Linked DNA regions of Canis lupus familiaris. The protein of the gene in region 5 purifies or fractionates together with the protein of the main gene of each other region. This does not show direct contact. Links are inferred from orthologs where the notes say so. Each region holds a gene or a part of one and is shown on either strand. Other genes may lie near its edges. The genes, in order: MED23, MED1, MED8, MED20, MED9, MED16 and MED19.

Evidence for each region.
Region 1: the proteins of MED9 (region 5) and MED23 purify together in Homo sapiens (co-immunoprecipitation; 3 studies listed by BioGRID and IntAct, with this or other methods). This does not show direct contact. The link is inferred for Canis lupus familiaris from reciprocal best matches to the Homo sapiens genes MED9 and MED23.
Region 2: the proteins of MED9 (region 5) and MED1 purify together in Homo sapiens (affinity purification with mass spectrometry; 8 studies listed by BioGRID and IntAct, counting the BioPlex papers as one, with this or other methods). This does not show direct contact. The link is inferred for Canis lupus familiaris from reciprocal best matches to the Homo sapiens genes MED9 and MED1.
Region 3: the proteins of MED9 (region 5) and MED8 purify together in Homo sapiens (affinity purification with mass spectrometry; 5 studies listed by BioGRID and IntAct, with this or other methods). This does not show direct contact. The link is inferred for Canis lupus familiaris from reciprocal best matches to the Homo sapiens genes MED9 and MED8.
Region 4: the proteins of MED9 (region 5) and MED20 purify together in Homo sapiens (affinity purification with mass spectrometry; 6 studies listed by BioGRID and IntAct, with this or other methods). This does not show direct contact. The link is inferred for Canis lupus familiaris from reciprocal best matches to the Homo sapiens genes MED9 and MED20.
Region 6: the proteins of MED9 (region 5) and MED16 purify together in Homo sapiens (affinity purification with mass spectrometry; 5 studies listed by BioGRID and IntAct, with this or other methods). This does not show direct contact. The link is inferred for Canis lupus familiaris from reciprocal best matches to the Homo sapiens genes MED9 and MED16.
Region 7: the proteins of MED9 (region 5) and MED19 purify together in Homo sapiens (affinity purification with mass spectrometry; 6 studies listed by BioGRID and IntAct, counting the BioPlex papers as one, with this or other methods). This does not show direct contact. The link is inferred for Canis lupus familiaris from reciprocal best matches to the Homo sapiens genes MED9 and MED19.

The regions. Positions count from the first base shown.
Region 1 is NC_049233.1:365,064-368,563, reverse strand, and holds part of MED23 (mediator of RNA polymerase II transcription subunit 23), read right to left. Parts: intron 2,061-3,500; coding exon 1,936-2,060; intron 1,517-1,935; exon of another isoform or gene 1,370-1,516; intron 805-1,369; coding exon 599-804; intron 511-598; coding exon 330-510; intron 1-329. UniProt on the Homo sapiens protein: Required for transcriptional activation subsequent to the assembly of the pre-initiation complex. Component of the Mediator complex, a coactivator involved in the regulated transcription of nearly all RNA polymerase II-dependent genes.
Region 2 is NC_049230.1:22,947,970-22,951,469, forward strand, and holds part of MED1 (mediator of RNA polymerase II transcription subunit 1), read left to right. Parts: intron 1-1,041; coding exon 1,042-1,096; intron 1,097-1,199; coding exon 1,200-1,332; intron 1,333-2,024; coding exon 2,025-2,053; intron 2,054-3,500. UniProt on the Homo sapiens protein: Component of the Mediator complex, a coactivator involved in the regulated transcription of nearly all RNA polymerase II-dependent genes.
Region 3 is NC_049236.1:16,880,952-16,885,200, forward strand, and holds the start of MED8 (mediator of RNA polymerase II transcription subunit 8), read left to right. Parts: upstream 1-1,449; 5' UTR 1,450-1,502; coding exon 1,503-1,508; intron 1,509-3,021; coding exon 3,022-3,140; intron 3,141-4,063; coding exon 4,064-4,208; intron 4,209-4,249. Other genes in the region: KICSTOR complex protein SZT2, read right to left, coding at 1,213-1,239. UniProt on the Homo sapiens protein: Component of the Mediator complex, a coactivator involved in the regulated transcription of nearly all RNA polymerase II-dependent genes.
Region 4 is NC_049233.1:10,766,670-10,770,810, reverse strand, and holds the start of MED20 (mediator of RNA polymerase II transcription subunit 20), read left to right. Parts: upstream 1-1,341; 5' UTR 1,342-1,480; coding exon 1,481-1,494; intron 1,495-4,141. Other genes in the region: BYSL (bystin), read right to left, coding at 657-924. UniProt on the Homo sapiens protein: Component of the Mediator complex, a coactivator involved in the regulated transcription of nearly all RNA polymerase II-dependent genes.
Region 5 is NC_049226.1:42,179,985-42,182,434, forward strand, and holds the end of MED9 (mediator of RNA polymerase II transcription subunit 9), read right to left. Parts: coding exon 2,319-2,450; 3' UTR 501-2,318; downstream 1-500.
Region 6 is NC_049241.1:58,257,802-58,261,301, reverse strand, and holds part of MED16 (mediator of RNA polymerase II transcription subunit 16), read right to left. Parts: intron 3,082-3,500; coding exon 2,875-3,081; intron 2,675-2,874; coding exon 2,464-2,674; intron 2,154-2,463; coding exon 2,020-2,153; intron 1,672-2,019; coding exon 1,479-1,671; intron 1,147-1,478; coding exon 930-1,146; intron 1-929. UniProt on the Homo sapiens protein: Component of the Mediator complex, a coactivator involved in the regulated transcription of nearly all RNA polymerase II-dependent genes.
Region 7 is NC_049239.1:38,957,943-38,962,040, reverse strand, and holds the start of MED19 (mediator of RNA polymerase II transcription subunit 19), read right to left. Parts: upstream 2,801-4,098; 5' UTR 2,593-2,800; coding exon 2,325-2,592; intron 1-2,324. Other genes in the region: TMX2 (thioredoxin-related transmembrane protein 2), read left to right, coding at 2,980-3,168. UniProt on the Homo sapiens protein: Component of the Mediator complex, a coactivator involved in the regulated transcription of nearly all RNA polymerase II-dependent genes.

The DNA.
Region 1 (3,500 bases), on a different chromosome or scaffold from region 5:
TTACCAGTTCCTGCCTCTAATGAGAGCCTTTGGGAATCAACTCAGGGCCTAATTGCTTGTACTTTTTACAGCATCACAAGGCCAGATCATGTCTGCCTTATTTACTTCTATATTTTCTGTGCATAGAACACAGCAGATATTTAATACACACTTGCTGAATGAGACAATGGGAAATCTCTAGTTCCTTAGGGAAGTGATAACAATGCTTGATTATAGTATAATTGCCTTAAATCCTTATAGATCATCAGCACAAGATCCATCAATCACACACCATGATCTAAAAGAGAGTGAAGTAGCTTAGAAACTTGTTCTTATAAGCATATTCTTACCAAGCAGAGAATCAATCTGTCCAATGTAACAATGTTATACTTCCATACCATGTCATTAAGAATTTCAATGCATTTGTTGAGTTGCTGACCTCCAGCTGATGTAGAGAACTCATATACTAAGAAATCTGCAAATGTTCTCACATGGGCTACCAAGGCCCTGGCTCCAATTCTTTCTAATACTCTGGAAAGCAGAGAGTAAAAACCAAGTTATATTGCTATGTGGTATAACAGCTTGTTAAATAGAATGCAGATCTAGGTTTCTGGCTTACCTATAGCCAATCTGATTAATATGATCTGTTTCCAAGAGCATTTTCCAGAGAAGACAAAGGAAGAGCGGAGGAGAGCCTTGCATAGAGAAGTGGGTAATGATGTCATTTTCATTGGTCATTGACTTCCACTTCCTATATTCCTCCTCCACATTTTTTTTCAGATTAAAACGGCTTTCCTGAGGTACATTATTCTGCTTGAAGAATGCCTAAAAAAAAAAGATCAAAAGTTTACTTTTATACTAAAATGAAGAGCAATGGCCAGAGTCAAGAAATCAGTTCTGGACTTGATTCTGACACTAATAAACTCTATGTGACCTCAGGTAATTAAGTAATCAAGGTGTGAATTTCTTTTTTTTTTTTTTTTTTTTTCAAGGTGTGAATTTCTATAATGGGAAAATATACAGGCTTGACTAGATAATCTCTAAGATTCCTTTCTTAGATTTCCTAAATAGATATTCCAAGCAAGCCTGAATTCAAAGCTTCCTCAAACATCTGTTGATATTTCTGTTTGTCTTTGGGAAAAAGAAAAAAAAAAAAAAAGAAAGAAATTATGCGCCTTTTGGTTAAAGATTTTAGTATCTCTAAAAGGAAAATCCATTATACTAAACCAATGGGTCTCAGACCTCCTGTTTTGGAAGTTCAGCAGTCTGTATCTGATCAAGCCCTCTAGATAATTCTACCAAGTTTGAGAGTTACTTGCCCTAGCCCTGTTGGAAGTTCTATAAAGCAGATATTCATTATGCTTAAACTTTTCTCTGAAAAGTAGAGGACAGCTTTGCGCAGTGGCAGTATTGCAGCCAATGAGGTCTATCCGAGGCACGATTATTGCTAATTGAAAAGTAGAGGACAGATGAGGTTTTCCTTTTTCCATAGTATAAAAGCCAAGTTTGTAGTTTTTCTCTCTGTATGATTAAAAAAAAAATTCAGTCAAGTGCAACAATGTGTATTCTATGAAGCTCTGTTAAGTTGTATCTCTCCCCATTTCAGTTCTAAAAAAGAGAAAGAATTTTTCAGGTAATGTGTTAATTCTCACAACATTCTAAAATTGTTAACTAATAACATGAAACCATAATTAAATTTTTAGGAACGTATCCAGGCCTAGAGTAAGTCAGGGAACAACTCAAGAGACTTTGGAATAGTACAGGTTTTTAAAAAAAGAAACAGAAGCTAATTTCCTTTGGATATCGCTAAAACCAGCTTTCTAGAATTAATGGGAAGAAATGAATTAATGGGAAATTAATGGGAAGAAATGAATTAATGGGAAAAAATGATTTCATATATACTAAATGGAAGAATGATTTTGTATATATTCAATATGTAATTCAAGACCAAATTACCTGTAGTGGGCCTGGAAAACAGCTAAGAGTGTGTGATGCCCAATTATGAGGAGTAAAACTCATGATGGTCTGAAGTATGTCTTTACACCAAGTTCCCTGAATTGAATCAGAGCCTGTAAAAAAATCTAAACATAAACAAACAGAGGTAATCCAGATATAAATGATCATACCCATAATTCATAAATGGTATCATAGAAAAAGTTATGTACACGCATTGAATTCCATGGCAATACACTCACTGCTTAACTAGTTATATTCAGTTTAGACCTAAATTTTCTTAGTTTATGAATGATTTGAATGATTACATTAGTAAACATGAACACAATTAGTGAAAAGAAGACATTTCAATCTATTTTTTTTTTTTAAGTAGGCTCCATGCTCAGCATGCCTCGGGCCTTGAACTCATGATCCTAAGATCAAGACCTGAGCTGAGATCAAGAGTTGGACATTTAACAGACTCTCAGGAGCCTCTGTAATCTTTTTTTTTTTTTTTTTAAGGTTACAGAGCACCAATGATCTAATAGTGACATAGGCCCACCATGATCGCTCATGTAGTTCAGTCTGACAATGAGGTATCAACACTTTATTGAGCCAAGGAAACAGAATTGAGAAAATATATCTTTTCCAGTGGTTGAAATAGCTATAGACTATAACTCTCTAAATCAAGAAGGTTAATTTATTGGGACACCTGGGTTGCTCAGCGGTTGAGTGTCTGCCTTTGGCTTGGGTCGTGATCCCGGGGTCCTGGGATAGAGTCCTGCATCGGGTTCCCTGCAAAGGAGCCTGCTTCTCCCTCTGCTTGTGTCTGCTTCTCTTTGTGTCTCTCATGAATAAATAAATACATAAATAAATCTTAAAAAAAGGGTTAATTTATGTAAAATAAGACAGTTTACACAGATGTATCTGAGGTTGCAAATTCAGTAACTATTTCTTTAAAACAGCAGTTCTCAAAGTGTGGTCTGTGGACTCTGTGGGTCCCCAATATCCTTCCAAGGATTTGATGAGGTCAAAACTATTAAAATAGTAATACTAAGATAGTACTAAACTTTTTACTGTGTTCATATGTGTACCAATGGGGCAAAGGTAATGGTAGGGAAAACTGCTGGCCCTCAGAACAAGTCAAACAGTGGCACCAGACTATACTAATAGCCACTGTAATCTTCACTATACTCTCACTAGGCAGCAGGGCGGGGTGGGAGGGGGCCCAGGTTGGGAGAAAATGCAGGTTTTACTCTAGAATATCCCTGAAGTAGTGAAAAGGACTGTATCTTAGCCCTTAAATACATCTAATTTTGTTGTGATAAAAATGGAAGTATGCAGTGTCCTAGCTACACACTGAAGTATGATGGGCATCTAAAGGAAAAGTACTTGTGCAATTGTCTGAATATCGAATTAAATTAGCTCTTTTTTTTAAATGGAATTCCATTTTTACTTGAAAGAACATCTGACAGAAAAACTACAGTTATTCAGACTTGGGCAATAAGCAGCATTTTCTTGAACAAAGGGAACCTATTACTTCAAGGAAAACAAATGACCACATCTTTTGCCAATGATAAAATTTGACT
Region 2 (3,500 bases), on a different chromosome or scaffold from region 5:
TCTGCATATTGAAAAACTCTGGTAGCCCTTCCCAATCTGGAAATATGTAGAGACAGAGGATGGTACTTTTTAAAAAAATTGTGGCGTTAAGTCCATCGCATTGTTGTGTAACCATCACCACCACTATCCATCTTCAGAACCTTTTCATCTTTCTAAGCTGAAGCTCTGTACTTACTAAACAATAACTTCTTTCTCCCTCTCCTCAACTGCTGGTAACCATCATTCTGCTTTCTGTCTGTAAGAATTTGTCTACTCCAGATACTTCATATAAGTGGAATCAAATAGTATCTGTCCTTTTGTGACTAGCTTTTCACATAGCCTACTGTCTTCAGGGTTTATCTATGTTGTAGCATGTATCTGGATTTCCTTTTTTAAAAAAGCTAAATAATTGTATGTACCACATTTTATTTCTACATTCACCCATGAATGGACATTTGGTTTGTTTTCACCTTTAGAAATAATAATGCTGCTGTGAATATTGAATATTTGTTTTTATGTTGGTTTGGTTTTGATATTAATCTTCTTTATTCTAGCATTAGCAGATACAGGTGTCTTTTTGAAGTTAAAGATAACTTGTCCTAATTGAGCAACGCAAAAGGAAGAGGAGAAAGGTCCAACAATTTTTAAAAATAGATTTTTAAAGTAAGGCCCCTTCCCCTCAACATGAGGTTCCAACTCATGACCCCAAAATCAAGAGTTGCATGCTCTACTAACTGAGCCAGCCAGGTGCCCCACCCCTAAATATATCTTTTTTTGGACCCTTACTACTGCCTAGGTCACAACTAAGTCTTACTAATGAACTTGTTCAAATTAACAAGCATTTGAACTATTGAATGTAATGACTTGGAAGGATGGATATACTCTTTCGGATATTTCAGTCTTTGAAGAATAAAATTTAAGTGTTTGGAGCGTTTTGTGATTTCTTTCTTTTTTCTTTTTCTTTTTTTCTTTTCTTTTCTTTTCTTTTCTTTTCTTTTCTTTTTTTTCTTTTCTTTTTTCTTTTTTTCTTTCTCTTTTTTTTTTTTTTTTACCCTTTCCTAGTAACATCTTTACCAGCAATGACTGACCGCTTGGAGTCTATAGCAAGACAGAATGGGTAAGTAGTCTATCACAGGCAGAAGTATTTAACTTAGTGTTGACTTTGGGTGGCTTTATTTATGTGTCTTCTATTAATTTTTGTTTTGATTTGTTCCTGCTAGACTGGGCTCTCATCTCAGTGCCAGTGGCACTGAATGTTACATCACGTCAGATATGTTCTATGTGGAAGTGCAGTTAGATCCTGCAGGACAGCTTTGTGATGTAAAAGTGGCTCACCATGGGGAGAATCCTGTGGTATGTGTTGTTGATATTTCACTGGAATCTGTGGGGTTTACTTAGGGACATTAATTTTAAAATGAATTGTTGGGGTTTGAAATAGCTTGGGTTTAGGTTTTTTCATGAGCCACTGTAGAGATGATGTGATGGGCTATACTATCAGTAGCTCTAGAATTTAGAATAACATGGGTCCATCTCTGACATCATCCAAAGGCTTCGACAAGTGGAGACACTAGAGGAACACTTTCCATTTCATATCAACAAACATGAGCCGCAATTGAACAATAGGTGCTGGGGATACAGAAATAAATAACTTAAAGTTCCTATCCTCAAAGAGCTAATAATCAAGGACAGATAATCTTATACATAGCTAACGTCTCTGAAAAATCCTGTAATAGAGATGAACATTTAATATTTGTAAACAGACAATTGAATATGGACTTAAAGAGAGGTCCTAATGTTTCAAACAAGCTCCTGAAAGTTGATTCCTTTATAAATTATTTCATATATTTTGAGATTTAATTTCCCACCTCAACCCTATGGTTTATTAAGTAGGAAGAAGATGCTTTTTGATATTTTAATGTAAGGATTTTTTGTAGTTTTAATGTTTTTGTTATAAAGCATATGCTCCTAACAAAAGAGAAAAATTTTTGATGTTTTCAGAGGCCTTAAAGTAGTTTAAAGTTTTAATGTGATTTCTTTAATTTCAGAGCTGTCCAGAACTTGTACAGCAGCTAAGGTAAGCAAATGACATTTATATACCCTGATACTGGCACATAATTCTTTGTAGCTAGGCTTGTGTTTTTTTTGTTTTTTTTTTTTTTAAGATTTTATTTATTTACTTGACAGCACAAGTAGGGGGATTGGCAGAGGGAGAAGTGGGCTCCCCACTAAATGGGGAGCCTGATGTGGGGCTTGATTCCAGGACCCTGAGATCACGACCTGAGCCGAAGGCAGACGATTAGCTGACTGGGCCACCCAGACACCCCTATAAGTCAGTCTTGAGGTTGGTCAGAAGTTACTCTCCTGAGGACGCCTGAGTGGCTTAGTGGCTGAGTGGCTGTTTTTGGCTCAAGTCATGTCCTGGGGTCCTAGGATTGAGTTCCGCATCAGGCTCTCTGCGGGGAGCCTGCTTGTCCCTCTGCCTGTATCTCTGCTTCTGTATCTCATGAATAAATAAATAAAATCATTAAAAAAAAAAAGTTACTCTTCTGAGGAACATATTTTTTTTGGATCAGGATTTTCAGCATCTGTATTTGTTCACTTTCAGAATTGACTTAGCTTGGCTTTTTAACCTACTCCATCTATCCCAGGATTTCTCAATCTTAGTAGTATTGACAGTTTGGATTGGAAAATCCTTTGCTCTAGGGGGCTGCCCTGTGCACTGTAGGATGTTTAACTGCATCCTTGATCTCTCGCCACTAGTCAGTATTTCCTGACCCATGACAATCAAAAATATCTCTAGATATCATCACATTTTCCCTGGAGGGCAAAATCATTCCTGGTTGAAAACTACTGACCTAGCTTCAAGAATTCTGTGTGCAACAAAAATAAATAGAACTTAATTATTAAATCAGCTAAGGGTTGAGAAACTTGAGTCTATACATGGAAAGAACTTTTATTCGCTTTGAGAAAAATTGTTTTACATTTAAAGTATTTATGTAATAAACTCCCATCATAGTAAAAATGCTAGACTTAAAAAGTTTCTTAGCAGTTGATGGCATTTCCCTCTGGATTATCCTTTCCTTTTAAATTGAGTGAAAATTTACTTTCTGGGATTTTGAGAAAGTCATTACATTAATTTTATGTCTTAAATATAGCAAAGTTCTCAGATACTTCATGGAAGTGTCTTAAGATGTTAATATTGAGGAAAGTTTTATACTCAGACTTTGCAGTGATCATTTTAATGTATTCATAACCAAAAGCACCAAATTTGAACCACCTTTTAAAAACTGCAATGCAATATGAAAATAGCATTTTTTATGACTTAATTGAATCAATTAAGTCTAGCAAAAGTGTGTTGCTAGAATAGTCCAGAAAGCCAGTATTTCTGGTTCTAATCTAGAGTAGGAGACCACCAATTTACGAACCGGTGGTGTTTTTTTTTTTTTTTTTTTTTTTTTTTTTCCGGTGGTGTTTTAAAGTTAACTTGTAAGCTTACTTTGAAGTGAGAAGCTCAGAAAGAA
Region 3 (4,249 bases), on a different chromosome or scaffold from region 5:
GTCTCATCACACCAAATCCCCACAAACTGGAGATTTACCATCCTGTGGTTATGTTGTTATACTATAATCACGAAGTTTAAGAACATAAGACCTGGAGCCAGGCCCCCTGTTTGGGATTCCTAGCTCTACTACTTACTAGCTGTGTTACTATGTTGCTTGGTGAGCTCTGTGCCTCAATTTCCCCCAAATGAAAGATGGAGATGATAAAAAGCATCTAGGGATGAGAGCACTAACTGATATTTGCAGTGTCGAGAATGGTGCCTGGCATGCAGTAAGCATTCACTAAGTAATAACTACTATTTATGTCACTATACACATCCTTCACCCTTCCCACCTACTCATATATTCTCTTAGAATACTGGGCACTTCCTTTAGTGATGTTCTTTCCAAATCTGATTTTATGCTCAGATCTTCTAATTTCAAAACTCTGCTACTCCCCAGCTCAGCAGCACTTGGGTAAGGTACTTAACCTTCACTTTTGGGTTTCCTTATCTGCAAATGAGAAATGGATATTGCCACCTCCCTGGCACAAGTTTGAGTAACATCATGTACGTACAAGTTCCTTTCATTAGCACCTAATGGGTGCTCATATGCATTTTCTGGTTTAATGCAGAAGGTCCTCACAACACACCGTAAGGCAGGTATCTTAATGAAGAAGGAAACAGGATCGGGATAGTCAAGACTTGCCCAAAGTTGCACAGACAGCTAAATGGCGACACCAATACTGGGACGAAACTTCACTCTGAGCCAAATGTTTTTTCTTTTCTTTTTTTTCCCACGAAACCAAAGCTGCTCCCTAAGTGCATAAGCGCTACAACTAAGTTAACTCACGCTGTTCACGGCATTCCAATGCCTGCAGAAATGCAAAAACCATCAACGTACTAGTGCCATGTTGCCCACGGAAACTGCGGTAGAAAAATCAAACCTCAGGTTTTGTTAACATCGATATTAAAGACCGAAGAATCCGAGAGCCCTGGAGCCGGGGACGTGTCTGAAATTTCAATAAACAAAACAAAGCGACGGGTTTCTGCTCTAGCCGCCCCCACGACGACACTGCGGGCCGCGGGGAGGAGGCTCAGTCAGTGGTCGGGCCTTTGGGGCCGGGCCGGTCCCTGCGCAGGCTACGCGGCCCGGCCGCCCCCAAACCGGGAGGAGGCCTCCTCCTCGGGGCCCGGGGTCCAGCGCCCTGCGTTGCGCCCGCCCGCCCCTCACCTCCGGCTCCGGGCGCTCCGAGGCCATCACACAGCCCTCCCGCGCCGGCCCGGGCCAGAGAAGATGCTCCACTCTTGACCCTTGACCCGGCTCCCGGAGACCCGCCGGAACCGGAAGTGAGTGGGCGGGCCGCGCTCTCCCTGAGTTTTCTGATTGGGGGACGAGGCCTCTAGAGTGGATCGCCGACTAGGAAACCGGAAGCGGAAGCCGCCGCCGCCGCCGCCGCCGCCGCCGCCATCGCCGCCTTCGCCATCGCCGCCGCCGCTATAGCCGCCATCGCCGCCATCGCCATGCAGGTGAGAGCGGGCTTGGGGCTGTTAACCGCTAGCTAGCTTCAGGTGACAGGACTGAGAATGGGCTGGCCGAGGAGAGAGTGAGGAGTCGGGGCCGACTGGAGGGGCAGAGCGCGTAGCTGACGGGTAAGGGCCCGCGGGGGCGCGGACGACTGGAGCGGTGGGGGTGGGGCCCACCTGGCAAGAGATGGGAGGTTGGGGCCTTGTCGTGGGGAAGGAGGCTGCGTGGACTAGCTGGCGTGCACGGAGGGATCAGGCTACGGTAACTGGGACGGTTGATATGCAATGCAAGGAAGGCAGCTCAAGAAAATGCAAGTTGGCTCCGGCCCCTGCCCAAGCTGTTGGATGTAGACGTGAGGGATCTGGATGGAATTGCAGAGGAGCCCGAGGGATTGGGGGAAGGGGAGGGAGGCCCAGAGCCGAGCTACTTAAAATCTGAGGCTCTGTGAGTGGAGCCCCGGATCCAGGCCCTCCTCATGCCCCTTGGTGAGTTTGCAAGACAGCTCTGCATCATTTCTCCCAGCCTGAGCCTGTTAGTTGTTGAGGATGAAGAAATGGAGTAAAACTGGAGACCACAGACGGGAGGAAACTGCAGACACCCCAGCATTTTAAAATTGTGTCTCTGGCGCCTAGGAGCATGTGCGTTTTGTCTTTGTTTTTCACTTGCCACTTACTTTCTTGCACCTGGTTGGCTGTCAGTAAATGTCTTCAGGCTGAGTGAGCTTGTGGAAGGGACGCAGGAATACGGGCACAGAGATAAAGCGAAGGGCACAGAGATAAAGCGAATGCCGACTAATCCAGCAAGAAGAAGCTTGAAAACTTCAAATGCTGACGCAGATGAGGAGTGGGGGAGGGGCCGTGGGGTACAAGTTTCAGGGAAACCTTAGTTTCCTTCGTTTCCACAAGCATGAGTATGTTTTCCGGAGATTATGTGACTGGCAAGAACTTCCAGGCTCACAAGGCAAGTTCTAGGACAAGAGAAAGACAAAATACTGCAGAGGCACACAAAAGTTAATAAAGCCCAGGGATTATGTCTGAAAAAAATGCCTCAGTGAGAGTGTTTCTATTTTTTTTTTAATTTTATTTATTTATTCATGACAGACACAGAGAGGGAGAGACACAGGCAGAGGGAGAAGCAGGCTCCATGCAGGGAGCCCGACATGGGACTCAATCCTGAGGCCCCAGGATCACGGCCCCTGGGCCAAAGGCAGCACTAAACCGCTGAGCCACGCGGGCTTCCCTGAGAGAGTGTCTAATACAGAGGAAAGCCAGACATGAATTAGCAGACAATGAGGGAAAGGAGGAATTGAGGTCAGGCAAATGGATTGAAAGGTCTAAGAATTGATGCTGTCTGTAACCCAAATACCAAAGATAGAGAACAGCCTGGCTTTCCTGCACCAGTGAGATCCTGGGTTACTTGACTAGTTTTGCATACTGTCATCCCGGCTTTTCAGCCTTCCCTGTATACGACATAGCCACACCTATCTGGGTAACCAACCTGTTCCTATTGGTGCAGAGGGAGGAGAAGCAGCTGGAGGCATCATTAGATGCACTGCTGAGTCAAGTGGCTGATCTGAAGAACTCACTGGGGAGTTTCATATACAAGTTGGAGAACGAGTATGACCGGCTGACCTGGTAAGGGTTGCCAGGGCAAGCTGAGGAGGGCTCCATGGGGTGGGGGTTGAGGGGGCAGGCCTCCTGATTGATAGGACATCTCCAGGGATGTCACAATTTATCACTTTGCAAACATTTTTTTTTCTTTTAAATTTCCAAGTTTGTTTTTTTGTTTTTTGTTTTTAGATTTCATTTATTTATTCATGAGAGACACAGAATGAGAGAGAGGCAGAGACACAGGCAGAGGCAGAAGCAGGCTCCCTGCAGGGAGCCCGACGTGGAACTCGATCTCGGGTCTCCAGGATTACGCCCTGGGCTGAAGGCGGTGCTAAACCACCGAGCTACCCGTGCTGTCCTGCAAACATCTTTTAATTTGAAAAGATCTATGTTTCCCAACATTTAACAAGTGAAGTTTGTCTTAGGGCCACTGTGGCACGGAAATAGAGAAATGCCCAGTTTTCCAACCCAAGTTTTTTCTAGCTTTTGATTGTCACCCTTGACTTCTTTGGGAGGAGGTACTCCGTCAGTGGGTCCTCCCACTATAGTAAGAGTACAGCGTTCATCTCGGGTCTCTTACGATAGATATTGCTGAGTCTTTTAGGTCCAACCTACTCTGGAAGTGTGGATCCTGTTTTCAGGCCTGAAAGATCTCTTTTTGCTCAGTTTATAAATTTTTAATGATAAGCATAGCCATGGTTCTTACTTTGCCACTGGTCTTTTACCCCATTCAAATAATGAGCTGCCTTATTTCTCCATCCATGTTAGAAACTAAAAGCGTGTCCCGTTTTCATAACCCCACAATCCCTGGGATCCAGTCTGGTTCCTGCCCAGTCCAGCTGTAGTGCTCTGAGTCTTTTTCGAGTGAGCCTGGGTATTCCTAGTCTGAAAGACCCCTTCGAGGCTACTTTACTGAGAACATTGTGACACCTTCTTACCACTACCAGGCCGTCTGTCCTGGACAGCTTCGCCTTGCTCTCTGGACAGTTGAACACTTTGAACAAGGTCTTGAAGCATGAAAAGACACCGCTGTTCCGCAACCAGGTCATCATCCCCCTGGTGCTGTCTCCAGACCGTGATGAAGATCTCATGGTAAGAAGAGAAGAAGGGCATAACATGGGAAATTAAATTCT
Region 4 (4,141 bases), on a different chromosome or scaffold from region 5:
TTTATTTATTTACAAGAAACACACAGAGAGAGGCAGAGGCATAGGCAGAGGGAGAAGCAGGCTCCCCGCTGGGATCCCGACGCGGGACTCCATCCCAGGACCCCGCGATCCTGCCCAGAGCCCAAGGCAGATGCTCAACCACTGAGACACCCAGGTGTCCCAAAACTATACTTTCATCATGAAATGTATTATTCGAATCGTCAATTTAATTGTCTCTCAGGTTAGACTGTAAGATCTTGAAGTCAGGGTCATGGCTATCTTGCTTCCTTTTTTACTCAAAACCATCTAAACTCCTACCTAGCACAGTGCAAAGTACGGACTAGACAACCTACAAGAATGTACAGAACAGATGGATAAACGTTAGGAGTGCTCAATAGTGTGACCAATTAACTTCTTGTTGGTCTAACTTAGAGACTGCCTAGACGCAAGCATCTAAAGCAACAAGTGGGCATAGAGAGCTCTGACCACCCTGAATCTATTCCAGGGCTGGGTCTCCCATTTCATCACCTTTGCAAGGGTGTGATGCGGACTCCTTATTCAATTTCACTTTTTTTATTCCAAAGGATTCCCCTGGCAGAACCTTTTGGCCGTCTATCTACTTCCCCCTCCCTCCAAAACTAACCACCCTCTTCCTGGCACCCCCCTCCCCCACTTACCCAGACGCGTGGTGCGCTCGCGCGGGGCTGCGGCCTTGTTCCCAGTCCCATGCTCGGTCTCGAGTTCCTCCTGTTGCTGCCGCGCTTGCTGCAAAATCCGTCGGGTCAGCCGGGGCCCCACATACTCTTCGTCCTCCTCTCTGGTCCCACGACCCCGCCGCTTCTCCCGGGGCCCTGCCCGCGCCGCGTCCCCAGCCAGGATTTGCTCAGCCAGCGGCGCATGTTTTTCCTGGCCTGCAGCTCCGCGAGCCGGCTTGAATTTGGGCATTTTTTTCCAGAACTCTGCCAGAAAGGTTTACACGTGGGGTACAGACGAGGAAAAAAAAAAAAAAAAGCCTTGAGCGCACTTGCGCCGTGAAGTCCCAGCTCCCAAGAGGCCCCCGCGGAGCTCACAGCGCCTCCCGGCGTCCGGAGGCCGGGAAGGCCATCAGCGCCGCCACACCCCGTAAGAGCGGGGCCTGGAGCCAGCCGGTCCCCGAATGAACTCACTGCTTCTAACGCTGGCTTCTGCAAGTGGTGGCAGTCCGAGCGGTGGTTTTCTACTTTCATAGATCGAGGACCTCTGTTCCCAGCCAAACGTGGACTTGCCTAGCTGCAAAGCCGGGGCCAGAGTTGGGTAGTGACGTCACTGGAGGCGTCACCGAGGAGATGCCTAGACCTGCCCCTGTTCCTCGTGGGCGCGTCGACTGGACGCTCTCCTTTTGCGTCATTTCCGGAGCACCTCCCTCGGCCGAAGCTTTCGTTAGGGGTCTTCACTTAGTGTGGGCGGCCAGAGACTACTGTGATCCGATTGTTTGTTCCTGCCATCCTCCTGGCCCGATACCATGGGAGTGACTTGGTAGGCCCGCAGGGGACTTTTTTGGGCGGCGCTCGGGGTCGGGAAGGGCCCCGGAGCCCGGAGTGTACCGGGAGGAGGGCCGGGACCAGGGACCGCGGTCCCCCATGAGCTGATGAAGATAAGATATCTTCGGAACGTGTGGGTGATGGAGACGCTGCGAGGGCTGCAGATTCTCCGCGCTTGTTTGCTCGGAGACACTTCCCTTCGTCCTGAAAGGCGGCAGGTGAAAGGTTTTGTCCCAGGAGCCCATCAGTGGTTGTGTTCCTCCTTCCCAGGAGGCCATAGGGCTGCCCGAGGTGGAAATTAAGGATGCCCGAACTAGGACCCAATCTACAGGCGTAGCTAGAGGAGGTAAAGGATAGGCAACGAGGAAACCGTCTTTTTTTAAAGATTTTCTCCTGCCCCTCCCTACAGCCACTTAATGCAGTTAGACCGGCCCGTGTCTGGTTCTGGTGCGGCCGTCTTAAGATTTTCGGTCTAGAGGGAAAAAAAAAAAAAAAATAAGCAGCAGCAGCTGTTGGGAGGTAGATTGGGGTTTAGGCACGTCACCTCTTCAGAATTCGTTTCCTACTATGTTTAATTGTATGGTTGGTGTAACTAATTACTATGGACTTTTAATCTCTCAACATGATATAAGTGGGGTGGCAGAGAAAGGTATGGGCCTAATGCTCTTGGAGAAAATGCTAGATTTTAGGGATTGTTTTGTTTTGAGTACCGGTAAGTATTAGCACGTTTCTAGTTAGGGCTGGAGCCTGTGGGAACCACTCTTTTTTTAAAAAAAAATTTTAATTTATTTATGATAGTCACACACACACACAGAGAGAGAGAGAGAGAGAGAGGCAGAGAGAGGCAGAGAGACATAGGCAGAGGGAGAAGCAGGCTCCATGCGGGGAGCCCGACGTGGGATTCGATCCTGGGTCTCCAGGATTGCACCCTGGGCCAAAGGCAGGCGCTAAACTGCTGCACCACCCAGGGATCCCTGGAGCTAGTCTTTCTGATAGCTCAGGTTCTTGTAGGCTTGTCGGTTACTGCACCTGTGTTTTCTGCAATGGATATTTTAAGCCTTTTCTAAGTTTTCTAGTGTAAGGGAGTGTATGAGGGTTGGAAGGAAAAGCTTGCAGCATAGAGGCTTGGAACCTGAAAGCCCCTGTTCTTTCAGCAGAAGACAGAAAGATGGAATGGGCCCTCAGTCTGTTGGGACCCTTAGCAAGTATATCACACTCCTGGTATTTCGGACCCGTGTAACGTCAGTTTAGATATTCTCTTATGTTTGTCAGTAAAGGCACGTTATCCATTGCTTCTGAGTTCATCTTCTGATGGAGAGTAGGGACAATTTTTAGCAACAGCAGTAGTCCCTCCTTTCCTCCCTCCCTCTGTGGTTGATTGATCATAAAGTAATGTCTTTGAGAATTCAGTAATATGTATGGTTTTTGTTTAGTTAAGTGTACCACCTGAAGTATTTATGAATTTTTTTTTTTTTGAATCTGTTTAGTTTTCTTAGAAGCATTTTAACCGGCAACTACTTGTTTAGGGAAGCAATCTAGTATAGTGAATAAGAACACAGACATGGAACCAGCATGCCTGGCTTTGAATCTTGGCTATACCACACCAAGCTATGTGACTTTGTGCAAGTTACTCAACCTCTTTGTTCTTCAGTTTCCTTACTTATTACAAGGAGATAAATAATAGTCATCTTCTAGGGCCGTTGTGAGGATCCAAATAGTTTATTTGTCTAAAGGCCTTTTGGACACTGCCTGGCACGTGGTTGGTGCTTAATGATTGTTACCTACTACTATTTTTTTTTTTTAAGATTTTATTTATTCATGAGAGACAGAGAAAGAGAGAGAGAGAGAGAGAGAGGCAGAGACACAGAGGGAGAAGCAGGCTCCATGTAGGGAGCCCGACTCGGGACTCGATCCCAGGTGTCCGGATCAGGTCTCGGGTTGAAGGCAGTGCTAAACTGCCGAGCCACCCGGGCTGCCCGTTACCTACTACTCTTAAGGGGAGGTCGGTTTCACTTACCATAGAAGGAATCTTGGAAATAACATTTTTATCTCATTGTTTTGATTTTATTTTTGTACATATCGTTGCCTCTGACTCCTAAAGATTACAGACTTGAGGCTTGCTTTCTCTTTGATCCTAGGGCTGTTGAATAGAATTTTCCATATTGGCGGAAATGTTCCATAACATCACTGTCCAATATACTAGCCTCTGGTCACATGTGGCTATTGAGCCTTTGAAATGGGGTAGTGCAGCTGAGCAGTTGAAGTTTTAATTTAACTTGTTTTATTAGTTTAAGTGTAAATAGCCACATGTGGTTTGTGGCTACTGTACTGGACAACACACCTTCAAAATGTTAGAGAATTGGTAAAAACATACTAACCTCAAACAGATTTTCCTAATTTAGGCAGAACTGAAGGAATTGCAAAGGACATCAGTGTTATGGATTACTCTGTGTGCCACCTAAAACTGCTTGAATGTTGGCACACGTGTCCTGGTTGGAAAATGCTGCTGTGATAGGAAGTTCACTAAGTTGGTAGGAGTGTCCTGAGACCTGTGTTCTAGTTCTTAGTGGAGCTGTTAGGAACTGTGAGCCTCTTATTTCCTCATCTTTAAAATGAGAGAGACGTTCAGGATACATGGTCTC
Region 5 (2,450 bases):
TCTGCCACTTGTAACTGCAAGCTTGGGGCAAGTGATACCTGCCAAGCCTCAAATTCTTCATCCACAAGACAGAGCACCCTCTGGGTGGGGATACTGTGAGGAGTGAGGTGTTTGATAAGTACTTATTCCAAGTACCTGCCACCCAGCAAATAATTGGTGGCTCAGGGTGCTCAACCCTGGGAGGGGCATTCAGTATAGTCCCAAGGAGGGATTTCCACCCTGCTCCATGGAGGACTGCGCCCTGGGGACTGAGCCCAGGCCTGGCCCAGAGGGCCAGGCCCAGCTGGGAAGGATGACCCGTCAGGCCAACGGGGTCCTTGGGGACAGATGTCTCTCCTCAGGGCACTTACTCGGTTTTGACAGTGGTTTTGCCATTTGCGTGCTGAGAGGGAGGAGGTTCTCACCATACGTTCTGTCTCCCCTTAAGCAAAGTGAACATCTTCCTCTCAATTATCCAAGAGACATCCTATAATGAATTTCTCAGTACAAAAACCAAGGTGTCCCGAGAGCAGAGTACAAGTTCTTTTAATTATACTCTCGAAAAATGTCACAAGGCAAAACCCTGGAACACAGGGAAGATTCCATCTCCCTCTGCCCTCGGAAGAGCCCTCATCCGTTTTAGCCGTGCGGAAAAGCCTCGCTGGTTATATTTCTAGATGCTTTGTGTTTCCTATTTGGTCAGAGCCTTAAAACGGGCCCACACTACCCTGAAATTTCAAGGCCATAACTGATTCAGTTAAATATAACAGTCCCAGGGTGGGAGTGGTTGACTAGGCGGCTACCCACTTCAATTCAGAGCCCGCTCTTCTGTCCAAAGCCACTGAAACCGAATACCGCCCTTCACATGTCCCAGTGCCCCATGCACTAACCACCTTCTGACAGGTGGCTGTGGGGCAGCACAAATGGAACCCCTGCTAACATGTCCAACCAGTACTCTGCCAACGAGGTCAATCGGCGGGCATCTGTTAAGCCCCTGGCTTTCTCAGCACAGGTTATGTGCCCATTTCTAGATCTAAACAATATGTGACTACTTCTCACCTCGTCTTTAAGAGGCTAAGAGGCTGTCATGTCAGTTTGACAGTCAAGCGAAGAGCACGCAAATAAAAGTCCTGTTGGCAGAAATGAGGGACGTTCTGAATATTAATGAAACCAGAGTGGGGCTGCAGAACTCCAGGCTGTAGGTGGTCGCCCTCCTTCATCCTTCAGAAGGGACTCGGAACTGATGGGTGATCAGAACGGTCACTGCAGCCACCCTTCTCTGAACAGTGCATCATGGTCACCTCTGCAGTGCAGTCAACGTTCGGTCGACTCTTCAGTGAGAAGGCCAGACGGGAGACTAATTTTTTAAACCAGGACAAGAGGAATCTGAAATGAAAAGAGGCAGGGCCCGCTCACCCGGAAGCCTGTGTGGAGACAATGGTTCTCTCCAGCCCGTGGGAAGCACCATGGGGTCTGAAGTGGTCTGGTCGTTCTCGAGCATTACATGGCTGGATGAGCTGACTCCAGGGCACAGGAGACAAAGGGAGCAAGAGCTAAAAGTAACAGGACACGTAGGTGGCAGAGAACCTAAGACAGAAGGTGCCTGCAGGGCTCTGGGTTGACACCCCCAAAGACCCAATTATATTCACTGGCTCAAACATAAAAAGGAAACAAAGTTTTTCAGTGGGGGCGGGAGAGGGAGGAAGTCACCCTGTTGCAGTCCTTCAGAACAATATTCATGCTTTCCTGGTTTTCTTCTAATACTTGAAATCCATGCCCTATGAGTGCAGCTCCAATTTGTCCAGTGAATTCTATGCAAATGTTTCATGACACTGCTGTTAACAGAACATGTACCTGGTACACACGGAGCATACCCAGAGTGGGAGAAGAGGGAGGGCAGGAAGCAAAGAGGAGCCACCTTCTTTCCTCCTGTGCTCTCCCGATCTGCCAGTGGAGCCTGAATACACAGCAGATGGCCCCCTCACCGGAAGCAGGAGCAGAATCCTCTACCCCCTCCCCAGCCTCCAGGAACATTCTTCCTTCCACCAGCAGGCACTCAAGTTATTATGCATCTAGACATATGGATATATACACTACAAGGAGGCCCTGACAAAGCCAAGCCTGCACGCTGGCTCCTCACATAGTCAATGCCAAGTTCAGCTACAGAAGCAGCTACAGCAGCAGCCCCCCACCCCCAGGCCTCTCGGTTACAAAGTTCACAGCTGGAGTCTGAAAGATCTACACTCTGAGGTGGTGTGTGTGTGGGGGGAGGGGGGGCGGACAGTGAGGACGCGTGGTCTCCCTTTTCTTTCTCAGGCATTCCTGGAAGGCGGCCTCATCTACTCCTTGGGGATCTCAAACATGCAGAGGCTCTTGTACTTCTGCAGAAGTTCATTCTTGGTTCTGACTTGCTCCCGGAGGCTCTGCAGCTGTTGCTGCTGCTGCTCAGGACTCAGGTGGATGCCCGGCAT
Region 6 (3,500 bases), on a different chromosome or scaffold from region 5:
GGGGCTGGGCGGCATGTAAGATATCGGATATGTTAAACCGTTTCCAGAACAATGAGTTTAAAACCTCCCTGTGATCAGCAACCCCCCTTTTTTTTTTTTTTTAAAGATTTCATTCATTTATTCATGAAACGCAGAGACAGAAAGAGGCAGAAACAGACGGAGGAAGAAGCAAGCTCCCTGCAGGAAACCTGATGTGGGACTCAATCCCAGGACCCTGGGGTCACACCCTGGGCCGAGGGAGACGCTTATCTGCTGAGCCACCCGGGGGTCCCATCAGCCCCTCCTGTGTTCAGGTTTTTCCTGAAACTCAAACGCAAACCCGGTCCTCCCTCCGCGAGACGAGAAGGAAGATGCAGAGGGTTGGGTGCTCGAAGCCTTTCACCCAGAGGGGCCACAGGGCCCCACCCTCCTTCCTTTGGCTCGCTGCTGCCTTCTGACATTTCCACCCAAAGACACAGACCGCGTGGGGAGCTCATGCACGACGGTCCACCCGGTGGCCTGAAATGAGGAGGTGCCTCGTCTGACGGTCGGGACACCTGTCCTGCCTAAAGAGCGGGGATAAAACCCTGCCCGTGCGTCACTGGGCAGCACGGGCCGAGTCCACACCATCCAACAGCAGCTACCCGTGACCGGCTCTGGAGGCCGCCCCTCGGCTGTGGGAACAGCCCGCCTGGGGTAATGGTTTGTCCACCGGGGGCCACGCAGTACATGCTAGAGCCCTGAGGGGGGGCTGGAGGCAAGTGTGTCACGCAGGAGTGACGGACCAGAGGGACGGTGACATCACACAGATGACCCAAGGCAGGGATGGAGACAGGTGGGAGCAGAGGAGTGACCGGCTGAGCAAGGGTCTCGAGGCCGTGTCAGGGTACAGGTCAGAGGGCAGCAGCTGCCCGGTGCACAGGGGCCACGGGGCAGAGGCGGGCACACACCTGATGAGGCCGTCCAGCTGCAGGGTGCTGGCGCTGGTGGGCAGAGTGGGCGCCTTGCCGAAGTGCAGGCGCAGGGGCTGCTTGGGCTGCAGGCGGCTGACCAGCCCGTCGCTGACGGGGAGCCAGTCCAGGCTGGGAATGAGCAGCTGGCTGGGCAGCAGGCAGCACTCGTCCACAAGCGCTTCGTCCGGCTCGCTCGTGGGGCCCTCGTCACGGCCTGCGGGGAGGGGACCATGGGGGAGCTGCGTGCCGCGGCCCTGCCCAGAGCACTGCCCACCTGGAGGCACCAGTGGGTGCCTGGGTTATGTCCTGGGTCAGGAGCGCACAGCGAGAGCCGGGACCCCTCCTGGCCTCAGGGATGCAGGGACGAGAGAACAGCCTACCAGAAACATGCGGCCCAGTGACACCAGGCCAGCAAACAGGTGCTGACCTTCATGAGCATCTGTGCTGGGCGCTGGCGGCCAGGACAGTCTGACGGGGTGGGGGACGGGAGCTGTCAGCCAGGACTTGTATTTTGGTGGGGGGATGAGCTGAGGAGTGCAGTCTTACAGCAGATCCAGAGCTTGGTCAGCAGGCGGAAGAGCAGGGACATGCTATCCTGGGTGTCCGAGGTGGCCGTGTACACGGGCAGGCAGCTGGGCTTCAGCAGACCCCAGATGCGGATGACCACCATCAGCTCGCGCAGCATGCCCAGCGAGGTGCCGTCCCGCAGGAAGCTGTGTCCCGGCCGCAGCGGGGAGCCCTGTGGGGAGAGGAGCTCGGGCTGGACCCCTCAGAGCGTGCAGGAGTCAGACCAGGGCAGCCCTGGGCCCGGGCATTCCGGAACAATCAGCAGGTCCAGCACCCGGCCACCACGTGGTTACCGCCGGCAGCTAATGTGTGTGCAAGGACAAAGTGGGGCTTGGCGGGGATGTGGGGACCATGGCTACAGCTGCCGTGGATTTGAACCTGAGGTGGGAGATGCACTCGGCGGCCTTCGTGGCCTGGGACTGGGGCAGGTGTGCGGCAGGGAGCGGGGGGCAGCGGCCAGCGGGGGGGGGGGGGTGGCGGCGCCGGGGGTGGGGGGCCTGGACGCAGCTGGGGGCCGCACCTGGTTGGGCAGGCTGGCCAATAAGTAGAGCACGAAGTCCCCCACCCACTGCAGCAGCTGCTGCAGCGCCTGGAGCGTGTTCATGTCCAGGACAAACTCCTCCGTCTTCAGGTTGATCATGACCTTGTCGATGTCTGCAGGATGCGGGCAGTCAGCCACACCCACCGGGCCTCGCGGTGTCCCGTGCCCACGGGGACGCCTGGTCCCATCCCCAGCCCCGTAGCCCTGGCGGCGAGCCAGGCCTGGGCCTTAGAGGGACCCCCCCACCACGCTGGGCCCCCGTGGGGACAGCACATCCCTCTGGGGTCAGCCCCGTGGACGCTGGGACACCTCTGCCCACCTGTGATGACCAGGCCCACCCCGCGCCTGGCGCCCGGTGGACACTGAGGGGCGTCAAGCATCCCCGGGGCACAGGCTGCTCTCTGCGGGCAGGCCAGGACCCACCGGCGTCAGTGATCTTGGTGCAGACCTCCGTCAGCCGGTCGCCGGGGCTCTTGTCAGGTGTGTTGAGGAAGTGAGGGCGCAGGAGTGACTTGAGCGTGGAGCTGACAGCCACGAGGAAGAGCTTGGCGTGATAGTCGCACACGCGGGCCACCGTGCAGGGCGACAGCTTGCACAGGGAGGCCTTCATGGCCAGGATCCGGGTGGACAGGACCTGGGGGGGCGGCGGGTGGTGGGAACGGGCAGGGGCACCCCACGGGGCCCGGGAAGCAGCTCCCCAGAGCAGGATGGAGGCGACTGCGCAGGGCAAGTGGGGCCCACTCTTCCCACGGGCCCTAATCTCCCACAGAAAAGGCTGGAGACGGAGAGCTGACGGGGAGGGAGAGCGGCCTGCGCGCCCCGCGAGTGTGCTACCTGCTGCAGGGCCGCGTTCTGGCGCGTGTACTCCTCGTGCAGCTTCTCCACCAGGCTCTGCACCATGCCGGGCTGCACGTGCAGCAGCGTGTCCCACCAGTCGTAGCCGGTCACCATGCAGTACTCCAGCAGGAAGAGCAGGTGCCGCAGGGCCAGGCTCACGTCCAGCGTGTGGCCCATGGACGGCGAGATGCGGAGCATGCTCAGCTGCCGGGAGAGGGAGGTGCCCGGTGAGGCCAGAGCCAGCGGCGTCCTCGCACAGGGAGGGGAGTGCTGGACGGACCTGCAGCCCACCCTGCACCCAGTGACCCCAGGCTCCCAGCTCCCTCCGGGCCTCGGGTCCAGCCCGTGGGGGCAGGTGGCAGCCCCAGAGGTGCTGAGGCAGAGGCTGGCACAGGGAAGCCGCGGGTGCTCCGTCTCTGCCACAGCAGAGCTTCCCCAAACAGCTGGGGGCTTCGCTACCTCTGTGGGCGTTCCCGGGCACTGGGCCTGTTGTCAGGCTAAGCGGCAGGTCCCCCGAGGGCCACGGGGTCCCCGCAAACACAGCCCCTGCTCTGCAGGAGCACGGCTCCTACCGCGAGGAGAGGCCTGTGGGCTGGCCGGCCTCATGGACACTAGGACACCAT
Region 7 (4,098 bases), on a different chromosome or scaffold from region 5:
GTTTGTCTTAGGAAAATTGATGTAATTATAAGACAGTTATTCTAAGTTTTCTTCACCCATATGAAATTTCCAAGGTTTGGCTCAAGTGACAACTCTGTCATTTTGGATCAAGGAACACATTTTGAAAACCAACATGTAGTTTTTTGTTTTTTTAAGTAGACATCTACTCTCAGTGTGGGGCTCGAACTTACAACCCCAAGATCAAGAATTGCATGCTCTACCTACTGAGCCACCCAGGGGCCCCCATCATGTAGTGCTCAATAGTATATGAGGTATGATCACGAAGTAATGAGATCAGCCTTAACAAGAAATATAGTCACTAACCTTTTTTTTTAAAAAAAGCTTTCTTTTTTAAAGACTTTATTTATTCATAGAGACAGAGAGAGAGAGAGAGAGAGAGGTAGAGACACAGGCAGAGGGAGAAGCGGGCTCCATGCAGGGAGCCCCACACGGGACTCGATCCCGGGTCTCCAGGATCACGCCCCGGGCTGCAGGCGGCACTAAACCGCTGTGCCACTGGGGCTGCCCTATAGTCACTATCCTTAAACCACATATGTTATATCCCTATGTAAAATAAGCTCCTTAAAAGCAAGGGCTAGATTTATTCTTTTCCTTCTCATCAGGTGCCCCCCTTCCTACATACTTGCCCCAAACAGGTAGTAGCATCTGTCAAGTGGTTGATATAAATAGGTACAATTTTATAAATAGAATAAATAAGGTTAGAGAAAGTGCTGGTAGACATCAACCCCTAACTGACCAAAGGAGAGTCAACCTCTCTATGCTTTAGTTTTATTCAAGTGTAACATGCCTATCTCAAGAGGCTATTCTCAGTATCAAATTCTATTACATACCTAACTGCAACTGCACTGTGAACTTCAAAGCACCAGGCCAATATGCATTATTATTTCCCTCAACCCCTGATGTAGCAGTAGAACTTGGGAGGAACTGAGGGGCAACTTGGAGATTTAACGTGTCCAAAGCGACTCTTGATTTCCATTTCCTCAAACGTGTTCCTTCTTGGTCTTAGCACTACCATCCACCCAACTATTCAAGCCAGGAATTCACAAGTTCCTCCCTACTTCTATATTCAACCCTTCATTCCTCTAAGCTCTGCCCCTAACATTTACCCTGCATCAGTTCACTTCTCTCCTGCACTGCTACTGCCTAGTCCAAACCATCATCTCCTTCCGGGACTACTATGCAGTAACTTCTGGCTGATTTCCCCACTTTCCATTCTTAATGTAGTTGTTTGGATAATTAAAAATAAGTAAAATCAGATCGTGTCACTTTCCTGTGTGCTAACATGGCTCCCCCTGAGGGGCATCTGGCTGGCTCAGTTGGTACAGCAGGTGGCTCCTGATCTCGGGTGGTGCATTTGAGCCCCAGTTTGAGTACAGAGATTACTAAAAAAAAATTTTTAAAAATACAACGGCTCCCCTGAACTTAAAATCTAAATGCTTTACAAAGGCTGTCTCCCCCACGCCCTCCATCTCCTATCACTCCTTCCCTTGAAACTTCACTGGAGTCCAACTGGTCTTCTGATCCTCGGATAGTCCATGGTTTTCCCTCACACCAGGGCTTCTGACCTCATTTCTTGCGTGTTATCTCTCCCACTCACACGTGACTGGCTCTTTACGCTCAAATATTATCTACGCGGAGATGGCTTCTTTGATCACTCTGGCTAAAGCCTCAACTCTTTATCACATTTTCTCCTTGTAGCACTAACCACTGTGTGATGTTATCTAGTGCACTGTGCCGCCGCCTCCTTTGAAATGTAAACTCCAAAACAGGCAGAGGTACCTGTCAGCCCTAGTCACTTCTGTATCTTAAGCATTTAGAACAGTGCTTTTGGTACACGGTAGGTGCTCAACAAAACAATTCTTTGGTTCGAGTCTCCTCCCTCCTTCGGGTAGTTGAGGAAACGCGGAAGCCCTCAGGAAGACGGCAACACGCCTCAAACCAAGAGCATGTCTGTGACAGATCTGGAAAACCTTAGGTCTGCACGGATGTTAAATCAGGCGTCTCGAGTTCCAAACTCAAACCCCGGAGAGTTTTCAGGGAACCATAAGCTAGCATCAGGGACAGAGCCAGATTCGGTGTGAAAGATGGGTCGCCGAAAGGCCTTCTCTCCCCCTTCCCAACCAGGCCAAAAATTCATGTCAACCCTTCGGTCGCGAGTCCTCAGCGCCCTCCCGACTCGGAGCTCCGAGGCCCGGCACGCGTTGCCTAGGATACCCCGCACCTCCCCCGGCTGGCCGAGAGCCACGCCCACCGCCTCCTCGGTACGATCCGATTGGCTGCCTTCTGCCAGGCCTAGTACTCACCTGGCAGTTCCCGCATAAGGTAGAAGGGACCGCAGCCAGCCGCCGACTTGTCGGCGCCGGGGGGAGCCGTGGCCGCGGTGGACGGCGGGGCCGTGCCGGGGCCCCCGCCCGGAGGAGGGGGAGGAGGAGGTGGAGGCTTTCCTGGTCCGAAGCCGAGCGCGCTTGGTGGTGGTGGTGGGTCAGCTTGAGCTCCGAACAGCGCCGAGAAATTCTCCATCGTCTCCTCCGCCCCGGCGCGGTCCCTGTGTCTGGCGTCGGTCGTTTTCATTGGACAATCCTCTCACGATGTCCCGCCCCCTTCCTCTAGGAGCCGCTTTTCATTGGGTGCCCCGCCTACCGTTTTCTGGCAGCTACTTCCGTCGCTTTATGAGAACGTTCCGGAAGTGCTATCTAACTTGCAGAGATTCCCCTAAAGGCCGTCTCCGTGCGCCACCGCCGCATATCCAATAAAATGACTTAAGTGGAGAAAGCGACATCTAGGTCGGCCAATAAGACGTCAAAGCCCCTTACCTTCCGCAACGTCCAATCAGAGATCTACTTCCGGGCGCGGAGGCGGTGCATCCGAGGCCAAACCCAATGGAAGGCTCGCTGGTGGAAGGGGCGGGGCCAGACCTACAGACGCCGAAGCTCCGCGGGCGCCGCAAAGGCCGGAAAGATGGCGGTCCTGGCACCTCTAATCGCTCTGGTGTATTCGGTGCCACGACTTTCACGATGGCTGGCCCGACCTTATTATCTCCTGTCAGCCCTGCTTTCTGTTGCATTCTTACTCGTGAGGAAGCTGCCCCCTCTCTGTAGCAGTCTCCCCACGCAGCGCGAAGACGGCAACCCGTGTGACTTTGACTGGGTGAGCGGACCCCGCGACCTTCACTGTCCCTGCTCCCCGAGGTTGCATGCGGGAGCCTCGAGGTCCCGAGCCCGTCGCGGCCTCACAGACTATTAGAATGTGGGGCCTGGAGCATCGTCGAGCCTAAACCTCTTCGTGCTTCATTGAGATGGGCAGACAGCGGGTTAGCCTGCACGGCCGCCTGGCTCTTAGGATTCTGGAGTGCAGGGTTCTTCCCATCGCCCCGTTCATGCTGGTCAGCGGCCGTACCCAAACTCGCCACGTGTCCAGTATTTCACAGGGCCGCCCTTTATGTAAAGCTTCTGGAGGAGCTGGTGAGGTATAAACAAGGCGGGTCGTGGTGCCCCCGTTTAACTGATGGAGAGCTTGACCTCGGCGTAGTCGCCAGGGAGCCCACCGGTGAGGGACTGCGACCCGCAGCCACCCCTGCACGCTTTGGCAGCCGTTCCTGGATTCAGTTAACACTCCCAGGGCGCGCGTTACCTGCTAGGCCCGCTGCCGCATTCCGAGGATGCAAAAACATCAACACAGGCGTTAGGCCCGCTGAAAAGGAATCGTAAAAACAAAATTGTAAAGAAATCTCCCTTGAGACTTGCTGTCCTCGAGTAGGTGCGGAGTAAAAGGAGTTGAAGCTCTGTGCGCCCTGCTGTACAGCAGCGGGTGTGTTCTGCGGGAAGGGAAGGGGGGTCAACCTGAGTTTTCGTCTTTTTTTTCTTCCCCAGCCCCCAAAGTGAGTCTTGACCTTTACCAGAACCCACTCCCTTATTTTGTTCCTCCATCCCTTGTTAATGCTTTCCTACATCCTCTGTGCTTTCCCAGACACTATGACAAAAAAAGCTCAAGTGTAGCCATGCTTGTTTAGAAGTTCCTATTTTTTTTTTTAAGATTTTATTTATTTATTCATTAGAGACACACACACACACACACACA